Linked DNA regions of Arabidopsis thaliana. The protein of the gene in region 3 interacts with the protein of the main gene of each other region in a pairwise test. Each region holds a gene or a part of one and is shown on either strand. Other genes may lie near its edges.

What was found.
Region 1: the proteins of HAT9 (region 3) and FAR1 interact in a two-hybrid assay, tested with the Arabidopsis thaliana proteins (one large-scale study listed by BioGRID).
Region 2: the proteins of HAT9 (region 3) and DREB2B interact in a two-hybrid assay, tested with the Arabidopsis thaliana proteins (one large-scale study listed by BioGRID).

Annotation. Positions count from the first base shown.
Region 1 is NC_003075.7:8,612,424-8,616,180, forward strand, and holds the start of FAR1 (FRS (FAR1 Related Sequences) transcription factor family), read left to right. Parts: upstream 1-1,636; 5' UTR 1,637-1,850; exon of another isoform or gene 1,851-2,269; 5' UTR 2,270-2,382; coding exon 2,383-3,757. UniProt on the Arabidopsis thaliana protein: Transcription activator that recognizes and binds to the DNA consensus sequence 5'-CACGCGC-3'. Activates the expression of FHY1 and FHL involved in light responses. Positive regulator of chlorophyll biosynthesis via the activation of HEMB1 gene expression.
Region 2 is NC_003074.8:3,453,301-3,457,057, reverse strand, and holds the start of DREB2B (DRE/CRT-binding protein 2B), read right to left. Parts: upstream 1,704-3,757; 5' UTR 1,505-1,703; intron 1,079-1,504; 5' UTR 1,050-1,078; coding exon 57-1,049; 3' UTR 1-56. Other genes in the region: RLP34 (receptor like protein 34), read left to right, coding at 3,197-3,757. UniProt on the Arabidopsis thaliana protein: Transcriptional activator that binds specifically to the DNA sequence 5'-[AG]CCGAC-3'. Binding to the C-repeat/DRE element mediates high salinity- and dehydration-inducible transcription.
Region 3 is NC_003071.7:9,704,326-9,708,082, forward strand, and holds HAT9 (Homeobox-leucine zipper protein family), read right to left. Parts: upstream 1,893-3,757; 5' UTR 1,724-1,892; coding exon 1,313-1,723; intron 1,209-1,312; coding exon 1,129-1,208; intron 958-1,128; coding exon 624-957; 3' UTR 307-623; downstream 1-306. UniProt on the Arabidopsis thaliana protein: Probable transcription factor.

The DNA.
Region 1 (3,757 bases), on a different chromosome or scaffold from region 3:
TCAGTCATAGTCAAGTGACGAAAGAGGAAAGTAAACTCCTGTAATATATTAAATTGAAAATAAAAGAAAAATAACGAATGTGAAATTAGAGATGACCTAAGCGAATTCAAAGTTAGCAAATTTAGAGTCGAATAGCGAAGAAAAAGCTTACTGTGTAGCCATGGCGGAGACCAAAGTAACTGGAGAAGGAAGAAGAGAGAGAGAAATGGAAGAAGGAATAAAAGAGAGAATTTTTAGAAGAAAGAAAAAAGACAAAATAGAAAAGCGTTGACAGGCTAAAAGAGCGAGACGGACAAATGAAAGTGGTTACTGGTTACTATTAGTACCAACGCTGGATTTTTAGCTTACGTGTCTATTTCACCTCTTTGATATTTTCTTTTTTTCCGTAGCAAATTTTAATTATTTTTAAATTATATAACCATTATTAATGATAATATGGTAGCTTAAAGTATTAATTAAATAATATAATTTTTATATAATATTAAAAAGTTCTCAGTAATACTTAAATATATATATATTAGAAAGTTATTTAATGTCTAAATTTCAGATTTTTAGAAGAATTTAGCCAAATTAAATCAAATATTAAAAGATTTTGCTGTTTAAAAAGGAATTAAATCAAAAAATATTAAATGAATTAAAAACAATTATCTTCCACTCCACATAAAAAAAAAGATATGTGAGTAGAAAAGAAAAAAAATATTAAAAGATAAGATGCAAACCCTGCATTTGTAACTCCATAACTAAATCTAAAAGCAAGTGACTCAGAGCACAACTCTCGTACAATTTGCCCTACAGTTTTATTTATATTTGGTGGCAAATGTCAGCTCTGTTTTGATGTGAAAGCCATCAACATCATGTAATTGATTAGCATATTACATATAGAATATGAGATACCCACATATATATAGAAAAAATGACGGTAAAGATTAAAAAAAAAAGTATACTTGATTTGTCATAATAAGAATAAGCATGTATCTCATATGTACAAAAATAGATTTAATGTTATTTATTTTAATATTCTTGTATTTTTTGTTTTATTTGAACTTATAATAAAAAAAAAACTGTAGATATTAATAGTTATGTAAAAATCATAAAAATAGATGTAAAAATCATATTAAAAGTTATGATAAATTTAGTTTACTACATAACTCTTTTGAAAAATGTGGAAAAATTATAGTAAACTGTATGAAAAGAAGATTATCATACAGTTAAAATTAAAATCTTTTAGAACATGTGTAGTGGTGGTTTCTAACCAAAGTTTTTAATTTACTAAAGTAATAATAATAAAAAAAATATTTAATTTGAAGAGTTTTTTAAAATAGTTTTTTCAAATCTTTTAAATTAAAAACTTTCTCATATTTTCTTAGAAATTGTTTTAATTAAAAAAATATTGTTTATTATTTTATTATTATTAATGTAGGCGAGAGATTTTGGTAAAAAATCACAATGCTGATGCTTTTAAAATAATCAATTTTTCTAAGAATACATAAATCAGCAATGCTTCTCACACGCCAAACGTAAATATAGACGCGATTATGAAAAAAAATCGCGTCGAAAACAAACGTCATTATGTCATTACACGTGTTACCAATCAAAAAGCCTTTATGTTTAATTAGTAAAGGCTAGTAAGAGATTTACAACAAATGAAAAAAATAAAAATAAAAACATAATCCAAGATCCCTAAAAATTCCCAAAAAGAACCCTAGATTTTCTCCTCTCACGCTCCTTGGTTCCTCACTCGCTTTTGCTTCCCCACTCGCCTGCTTCGTGTTCTTCTTTGCTTTGCTCTTTTCACGTCAGAATTTTGCCTTCCCTCCCTTTGTCTCTCTCTGGGTGGCCGAGAAAATACAGTAAAAAGCCCTCACCAATCCAAAAGTTTGACATTTCCTGAATTTTGTAGTCTCTTCATTTGAATTCTCAGGTTTTCTCTTAAGATACATTAAAGTCTCTGTCTTTTATGCTGATACTAATGAAAGTTCAGTTCTTTCACTGAAATTTTAGAACCAGAACTTTTCTACTACTAGAAGTATGTTGTCTCTGACTCTCTTAGTTTGAGTTCTCAGGTCTCCTTCTCTTATTTGTGTGAAATTTTACTCTTTTTTGGCTTTAGAAACAGAACTTTTCTACTATTAGAAGTTATGTTGTTGAAAGTTCTTCACTTTCATTTGATTCCATTGATTTCATATTGCTTTGTGTGTTTCAAGTTTGATGTTTTTAGGTAGAAGATGTCGCGCTGGTTCTTATGAAGTTTGGTTGTGACATTTTTCAGGTGCTAAGGTGGATTATCTAGTAGAAAGATTTCAGTTTCCAATTTCATGGAAGCCCATAGTGGGGTAGTTGCTTTTGAGTGTGTTAGTGAATCCATATGTGGCTAAGGTTAGGATGGATTTGCAAGAGAATCTGGTTAGTGATGCAGGGGATGACCATATGGTTGACATTGTAGTTGAACCGCATAGTAACAGAGATATAGGAATTGTTGATGAGTTCAATATAGGTGGAGATGTTGGATTTAGTGGTGATCTGGATCTTGAGCCACGAAATGGTATAGACTTTGATACCCATGAGGCAGCGTATATCTTTTATCAGGAATATGCAAAATCTATGGGTTTTACTACGTCGATTAAAAACAGTAGACGTTCCAAGAAAACTAAAGACTTCATTGATGCTAAGTTTGCTTGTTCCAGATATGGTGTGACTCCTGAGTCTGAGAGTAGTGGTAGTAGTAGTCGAAGGTCAACTGTGAAAAAAACAGATTGCAAGGCTAGTATGCATGTGAAGAGAAGACCAGATGGGAAATGGATCATTCATGAGTTTGTAAAGGATCACAATCACGAACTTTTACCTGCCCTTGCTTATCATTTCCGGATTCAGAGGAATGTCAAGTTAGCTGAGAAGAATAATATCGACATTCTGCATGCGGTTAGTGAACGGACCAAAAAAATGTATGTTGAAATGTCGAGACAATCTGGCGGATATAAGAATATCGGGTCTCTTCTTCAGACCGATGTCAGCAGTCAGGTTGATAAGGGTAGGTATCTAGCTTTGGAAGAAGGAGATTCTCAAGTACTGCTTGAGTACTTCAAGCGTATCAAGAAAGAAAACCCTAAATTCTTTTATGCTATAGACCTGAACGAGGACCAACGTTTAAGAAATCTGTTTTGGGCTGATGCCAAGAGCAGAGATGACTATTTGAGTTTCAATGATGTTGTATCCTTTGATACTACTTATGTCAAGTTTAACGATAAGTTGCCACTAGCTTTATTTATTGGGGTGAACCATCACTCCCAACCTATGTTACTAGGCTGTGCATTGGTTGCTGATGAGTCTATGGAGACTTTTGTGTGGCTGATAAAAACATGGCTACGAGCAATGGGTGGTCGAGCTCCTAAAGTTATACTCACTGACCAAGATAAATTCTTGATGTCTGCTGTTTCAGAGCTCCTACCAAACACTCGTCATTGCTTTGCGTTATGGCATGTTTTAGAAAAGATTCCTGAATATTTCTCACATGTGATGAAACGGCACGAGAATTTCTTACTGAAATTCAACAAATGCATTTTCAGATCTTGGACAGATGATGAGTTTGATATGAGGTGGTGGAAAATGGTCAGCCAGTTTGGACTTGAGAATGATGAATGGCTGCTATGGTTGCATGAACATCGCCAAAAGTGGGTGCCCACATTTATGAGCGATGTGTTTCTGGCAGGCATGTCGACATCTCAACGTTCAGAAAGTGTGAACTCTTTCTTCGATAAGT
Region 2 (3,757 bases), on a different chromosome or scaffold from region 3:
CTATGATCAATCCAAAGATTATGTTGTAGTCTTGTAGGACCATTGCCTCAGAACTCTCAAATATCCAGAGAACTCAAACCATTGAACTCGTGACCATCGTGTGGCTCGAGATGAAGCGGATGCAAATCATAACTACCAGAATTTACGTGGTTTTGGTCTTGGCTCTGATGGGGACCAGGTTCATTCAAATCTCCAAGGAGTTCATTAATATCAAAGCACTCATTAGGATCCCAAGAAGTCTGATCATTTACAATATCATTAGACCAAGGCCAACCGTAATCTGCAACAGTAAGCAAATCCGGTTGCAGCTGTTGCTGTTGCTGTTCCTGTTGCTGTTGCTGTATCTCCTCTTCTTCCTGCTTCGGTTTCTCTTTCTCCTGCAAAACTTGGCCCCAATACTGCTGCTCAAACTCTAACAGCAAATCGTAATTCAGCGAAGAATTCATATCTTGATGTCCAACCGTGCAACTGTCCGGCCTGGTTCCACAAGACTCTTCTCTAACATCTAAAATCTGACTAAATGGATTAGATTCACAATCAGTATCTTCATGCTTCACACAAACATCACCACAAACAACCGCCTTATTTTCAACCGTACACACCTCAGATTGACTAGACGTACTAGTAAACTCAGACCCAACAGACTGAGGGAAGTTAAGACGAGCCAATGAACCGTACATAGCGGTAGCCGCTTCATCATAAGCGGAAGCAGCTTTTTCCGCGGTAGGAAAAGTACCAAGCCAAAGTCTAGTTCCTATTTTCGGTTCTCGAATCTCTGCAACCCATTTACCCCAAATCCTTTGTCTAACTCCTCTAAAACTACAGTGAGAATTATCTGGTCCTCCTTTACCCTTCATACAACCTTTCTTCGACCCTTTCGCAGGAACTTTGCGTTTCGGTTTCTCTCCTTCTTTAACAGCCGAAGCTTCAACAATCTCGTTGTACTCTTTCCACTTCTTTAGCCTATCAGCCACCGTTAAACCACCTGCTCGAGCCCTAGATTTCCTTTTCTTCGGCTGCTCGGTTCCGGTTTGTTCATATACAGCCATCTTCTTCTTTATAGTCGCAATCTAAGAATCTACAAGATAGGAAAAAAAAAGGTTTTGAATCAGTCTCTTCCTCTCAATTTCAGAAAACAGAAATTATCGAGTCACGGAATTTATAGTTATAAAGAGGAACAGAAACAACTTGGGCACCAAGGGTGTTTTACTTGCTCACCAAGTTTTACTTTATTAATAGAAAAGCAAAAATCGCATTAGAATTTCCAATTTTTTAACCCGAGTCTTAGATTAAAGAAACCGTGTAAAAAAAAATAAACGCTAAATTAGAAAATTTCCCAAATTTCTCTCAAAAACAGCGAAACCTAAAAGGATGACATTTTGAACAAATCAATGAACACGAAAACATCTAAAACCCAAAATTCATCAAACCCAAAACCCTCTTCGAGACTAATTCAGCGAAAAATCGACAAACCCAGAAAAGATTAATTGGAAATCAAACATACCTATCGTGAATGATAACTCCAGGATTAGAGTCGAATCTCTTCTTTATTTAGGCAAAAATCTCTTCTTTATCACGCAGATGTTGTTTGTTGTTCGTGTTAAGTCGATCAAAAGCAAATCTTCTTCGCAAGCTTTCGCGTTCTTTCTAGCGTCTCTTTTTTCTTTTCTTTTTGTAAAGACAACAAACTTTTTACAGAAATCAGATATTATCAAGAGGTCGAAAGGGTATTTATAACTTTGTCTAGATATTTCTGATATTTTAATGAGAGTAGTAGTGACATGGCACTTATTAATTCGAATTGTGGATCATAACATTCCCCAGTGACGACACGTGTTGAAATTTTCACCACACAAAAACACGCTCTCAATACGGGTAAGCAATGGGAATCCTTACTATAGTTGATAAACACATACAGAAACATATTTAATACAATATGTACATGTTAAGACTCAAGAATCACAAAACCATACTAATATTTTAAGAAATAAATATTTAAATAATGAAACTTAATTATTAAGAAAGTCTCATTTTAAAGATTATAGTCAATATTTGAACAATAATCTGATATTTTGAGGAAAACAAATTAACAGTATGTTATGAATAATTTATAACCAAAAAAGTAGATTTATAATCTATAATATTTATTTTCTAGTATGGCAGTATATTAAATTGAATAATATACATCCAAAATTCCAAAAAATAAGTAATCAAACAAACACAAAGCAACATCACAACCATGATTATCACCATCACCCACAAACTTTTCTTCTGAATTCATTTCATTCTAAGAGAGAATATACGAAGCACATCAAACAGTGTTTTATCCTGAAAGCATAAAATCAGAGAAACACACAAATAATTAACGAGATTCTAGTTCAGTTATAGGTTTTTTGAACTCCAAAGCTCGCATTAATTAATTTACAATTAGTCTCTTCTACTAAGTACAATAACTCTAAGTCTCTAACAGTAATCATCAAACACAAAGCAAATGTCCACGCATTATCAATGAGACAAAATCAAACTCGTCATCACGGTCTTCAATTATCGGTCGGCCTAAACCCCCATAATTTGGAAATCGAAGCTCGCGAATTTGCTAAGGTTTCATGCGGACTACAGAACGTTACATGTTGACGACGGTATGAAGAGAAATTGCGGCGAGACACAACCGATCTTACGTTATCTGTTCTTTCTTTTCAAAAAGGGGAATACTTATACTCTTCTGAGTTCGGTGGAATGTGATCAAATGGGCCTGCGTTTTATTTTTATCCTCCTATGTTGTTGGGCCTTAGCCCGAGTTTGTTTTTCAGACTGATGCACAAAATTGATAATATCCATCTCTGAACTAATAATATCAGACTTATAGACATAGTAACAAGTCGTCCAATTTGGTTGGGAAAACAACTTTTCGAAGTTTCCTGTACGTAATTAAAGTAAAGACAAAATGTGTGGAAATGGACTATTCAACATGAAGACTCTTTTAAGTCTTTTCGTTTCAACGTGAAGAACACTTGGTAGAAAGACTGGTTATATAATGTGAGTCAAGCTGTGTTGGATTTATCTTTGTGGAGTAGAATCTATTACTATGTCTATAAAGAGATGGGCACGAAACCATCTTATTTACTACCACAAACTCCACTTTCTTTTATCAATATTCAAGAAAATTCGACTAGCTAGCTAGCGTAAATTAAGGAGGATGAAAGGCTCTTGGGTGGTCTCAACGAGTATCATTCGTATTACTCTTTCTTTTACTTTCTTATTCATTTGTCATTTTTCGGACGTGCTTGCGGCTCCTACTAGGCACTTGTGTCGTCCCGAACAAAAGGATGCACTTCTCAAGTTCAAAAACGAGTTTGAGATTGGGAAGCCTTCTCCTACTTGTAAGATGGTTGGCATTGAATCTCATCGGAAGACGGAGTCATGGGGGAATAACAGCGACTGTTGTAATTGGGAGGGAGTCACGTGCAATGCCAAGTCCGGGGAAGTGATCGAGCTCAACCTTAGCTGCAGCTCCCTCCATGGCCGGTTTCATTCCAACAGCAGTATTCGAAACCTTCATTTCCTAACCACTCTAGACCGTTCACATAATGATTTTGAAGGTCAAATCACGTCTTCAATTGAAAATCTGTCTCATCTCACCTCTCTCGACCTTTCTTATAATCGTTTTTCGGGTCAGATTCTGAATTCAATCGGAAACCTTTCTCGTCTCACCTCTCTCGACCTTTCTTTTAATCAGTTTTCGGGTCAGATTCCATCA
Region 3 (3,757 bases):
GGAAAGATCAAACGAAAACTGCATTAGATGTTTAATGTGATGTAAAACATGACCTACCATTATATTACATAGATGTCGTATTTTAGCGTATAAAGTTTTAACTTTTAGATTGAGATTTGTAATTTAGTATTCTTGTAGCTTATCACCACCACATCCATTGAGTCCCATTTAAATATGATATTATACGTTATATATTTTATCTTTTTATTTTTTTATGAACAATACAGCCCCTTAAGATCTAAACACAAAATGATGAAAGTAATCATCGGCTGATCATTAGTATGCATGAAAAATTCCCATGTATAATTATATTGTTAAATAGTTTTTCATTTATTACAAACATGATTTACTTGACTAAAATTGAAGGTGAGAAAATAAGATGTATAAATTAAAGTGAAGACTATTTTACCTTTTTCTACAAATAAAATAATAATTACAAACTATTCTTTTTCTCAAACCAGCAATCCCACTGAAAAACAAAGTGGGAATTGTAGAAGAGACCATCTATACGCATCTTACCCTTTCTAACATAGTTTTTGTGTTCTTCCTACTAGTTAAAATGCCACCCAAAAAAAAAAGAAAATTAATATTTTAAGTAATAAAATTAAACGAATTACTACTATTCAACAAGCTGCAGATGGGTTAGTAAAAGGGTTGAAGAAGTGAGGCTTTGAGGAGATAGAGAAAGCTCCTTTGGCCGTACTTCCATCTACAATCACCGCGGTAGCCCCGCTGCCGCCACCTCCTCCTCCATTACCCCCGCCGCCGCCGCCGATTCTCTCACAAGAAGGACACTTCGTTAGAGTCGATGCAGGCATGTGCATGTAAAAGGGCTGAGTCAATTTTAGGGTTTTGAGTTCTTGAATCTCTTTCTGAAGTCTTATGTTCTCATCTGCTAATGTTTCACAACACTTCTTCAAAAACTCACAATCTACTTCTGTTTGCTTCAGCTTTGTCCTGCTCATTCATTAAATAAAATAAATAATTAAATATATATAACCGAAAGAAAAATCATATCACCTAAAAAATAGAAAATATTTTCACCTACAAAATTTTCTGACTATTAAAGAAATTTTGACACATGAAAAAATCAAATATTCTGATAATTTATAATATAATTTTTTTTACCTGGCTCTTCTATTTTGAAACCATACTTCAACTTGTCTAGGCCTTAGATTCAGCTGTCTAGCCAGAACTTGCTTTTGTTTCTGTAAATAAAATATAACAACAAAGAATCTGATTGGATAAGAATTATCAAAAGTGATTAGTAACGTATAATAAAAAAGAATTAGGATTAAGGATATGTAGTTACGGGATTAAGGGTGCTATGATCCTTGAAGCTTTCCTCAAGAAGAGCAGATTGTTGTTTCGTAAGCCTAAGTTTTTTTCTAGCACTAATACCTTCTTCATCTTCATGGTAATCACTTATAACTCTCTCCGTCATCTCTTCCTCCTCCGGCGACTCTTCGCCACCGTCTCTCTCTCTTTTCACCACCCTCCCGCTTGAGAAAGAAGAGACTCCGCTGTGAGATGACGTCTGACGGCATAGCTGGTCAGCTCCGGTCACCACGGTAACCGAGGGATCGCCCGAGAGGCATAGAGTCAACGACGGCTCGAGCTTGTAAACGGAGGATTGTCTGATGGTACTATTGTAATTATTTGGAATTGGTGAGGGACCTAATCCAAGAACAAGACCTGTGTTGCATGTATCATCAAAACCCATCTGAGTCGAAATGAAAAAAATATGCCTTTAAAATTTATCTATCTTTGAGATTTCGAGAGGAAAAGGAAATGAGTTTAGAAGATAATGGGAGGAGATGAAGCCAATGGGGCTTCTTAAGAAGGAGAAGAAAAGTATTTTTTTTATTTTATATTTTTAAGAAATTGATGGGTGGGTGGATGGCTAATAGTTATTAATCAAAGGAATGATTTATATTATTTTAAAGAAATGATTTTATTTTCTTGGTAATTCTTTTCCTGAAAGAAAAAAAAAATAATGTGGGAAATTATGATGGCACAATTCTCTCTACTTTTATTTTTCTTACTTGCAAAGGTTGACCAAATGAGCATCTCACTTGGCACTTGCTACTATTCTTCCCACTAATAAGAGAAAAGTTCCCGAAAAAGTTCAATGATTTTATATTTGGTAGAAGATGGAATTATCGTATCATGAATATAAATTAAATATTATATTTAAAGCTTTCTCCATTCTTTTTCTGGTATCATTGGGTTCAGTCGGCATCGGTATTTTAGATTTTTATATCATGAATATTTTTATCATGAAGCGTACGTTATTGTAGACAAAAAAAAAAAAAAGAGACGAAATTAGTATGAATAGTAATTAGAAAGTGATTAAGAGGTGCCTTTAAATAACGGACCACAAGACAGTTTTACTTTTACCCACTAATTTTCAGCCTCCTTTTCCTTATCATAGAAACACATTGGCCCTTGATGTTTTATTCATTTATTTAATTATGTATTATATATTTTAGTTATTTTTTTTCTTCGTATACATATGGATAGTGATCCCCACCATCTTGTTTAGGTTTGGTTCTCTTGATGTCATTCACCAATTAATTTAGTACTTTTTGGAAAGAGTTAGGCTTAGGCATATACTTTATTTTCGAAATTTTTTAAACAAGGTGATTCATCCGTACCAATAACTCGTTACATCCATAATTAGTCTCGAGCTTTAACTCACAGTTATCTATATAGATTACAAAGTATTTCCTAGAGTTTTATAATATATCATATCGCGCTTTCTCTTTCAAGATAAACTGATGTACCAATAAAACATATAAGAGAAAAAAGGAAGTAAAATCATTTTGAAACTAAAGTGTACGAATATATTTATATATTAGGGTAAAATACTAAAATAAGAACAACTATATATATAAATGTCACTATACCATGATAACAAATGTTACTGATTTATACCATGCATGGTGTTAAAAGCCGGAATTCAAACTATTATATTTTGAGCAGTCATTACATCACAAATTAAGACTCGGTCAAGCTATATCGCTAGATATAATCAAAAGTCTTAAGTCCGTAGTTAGGTTTATTTTACCCGATTTTTATTCAAATTGCAATATGTGGTCGAAACAGTTGTAAAAAATGGGTGCTCACCTTTTAAATCACTTTTTGTTTGGTTACCTGACGTAACATTAGAATTATCAAGAGAACACACAAAGGAGAAGTACAATAAAAGTGGGTAGAAACTAAAAAAATGATATGGGTGAATACGATTCGTCAACAATAACCTAAAATCTTTGGAGTAATGGATTAAGAAAGTTTATGTGTAACGTTTCATTAGGTTTGGTCTCAGCTTTGTTATTTGTTTTGGCACTTCCCAATAATGAATTTGTCGGCTATACTCGTCCAAGTAAAGTTTTTTTTTTTTTTTGTCGACCGTCCAAGTAAAGTTAGGTTACCCATCTTATACATATTATTATTATCATTATTTTTAATCCTTAATTATTTTTTCATTTATAATCTACTCTTATATATATATATGTATATATATATATATCTTTCTTATTTTTTAATTAATGCATTTTCTTAACGAAATTCTGTTTTACCCCCTAATTCTGCTAGTAGCACACACACGATATTAATGCTTCAATCAATGAAAAATACCAATTATAACTTAATGTGATTTTTCAGTTCATATCATTGTATAACATTTGACTTTTTCTAGGTACGACGAGTTATCAATATGCTAGGAAATTAAGAATGATGAAAGTTCGTGGATAAT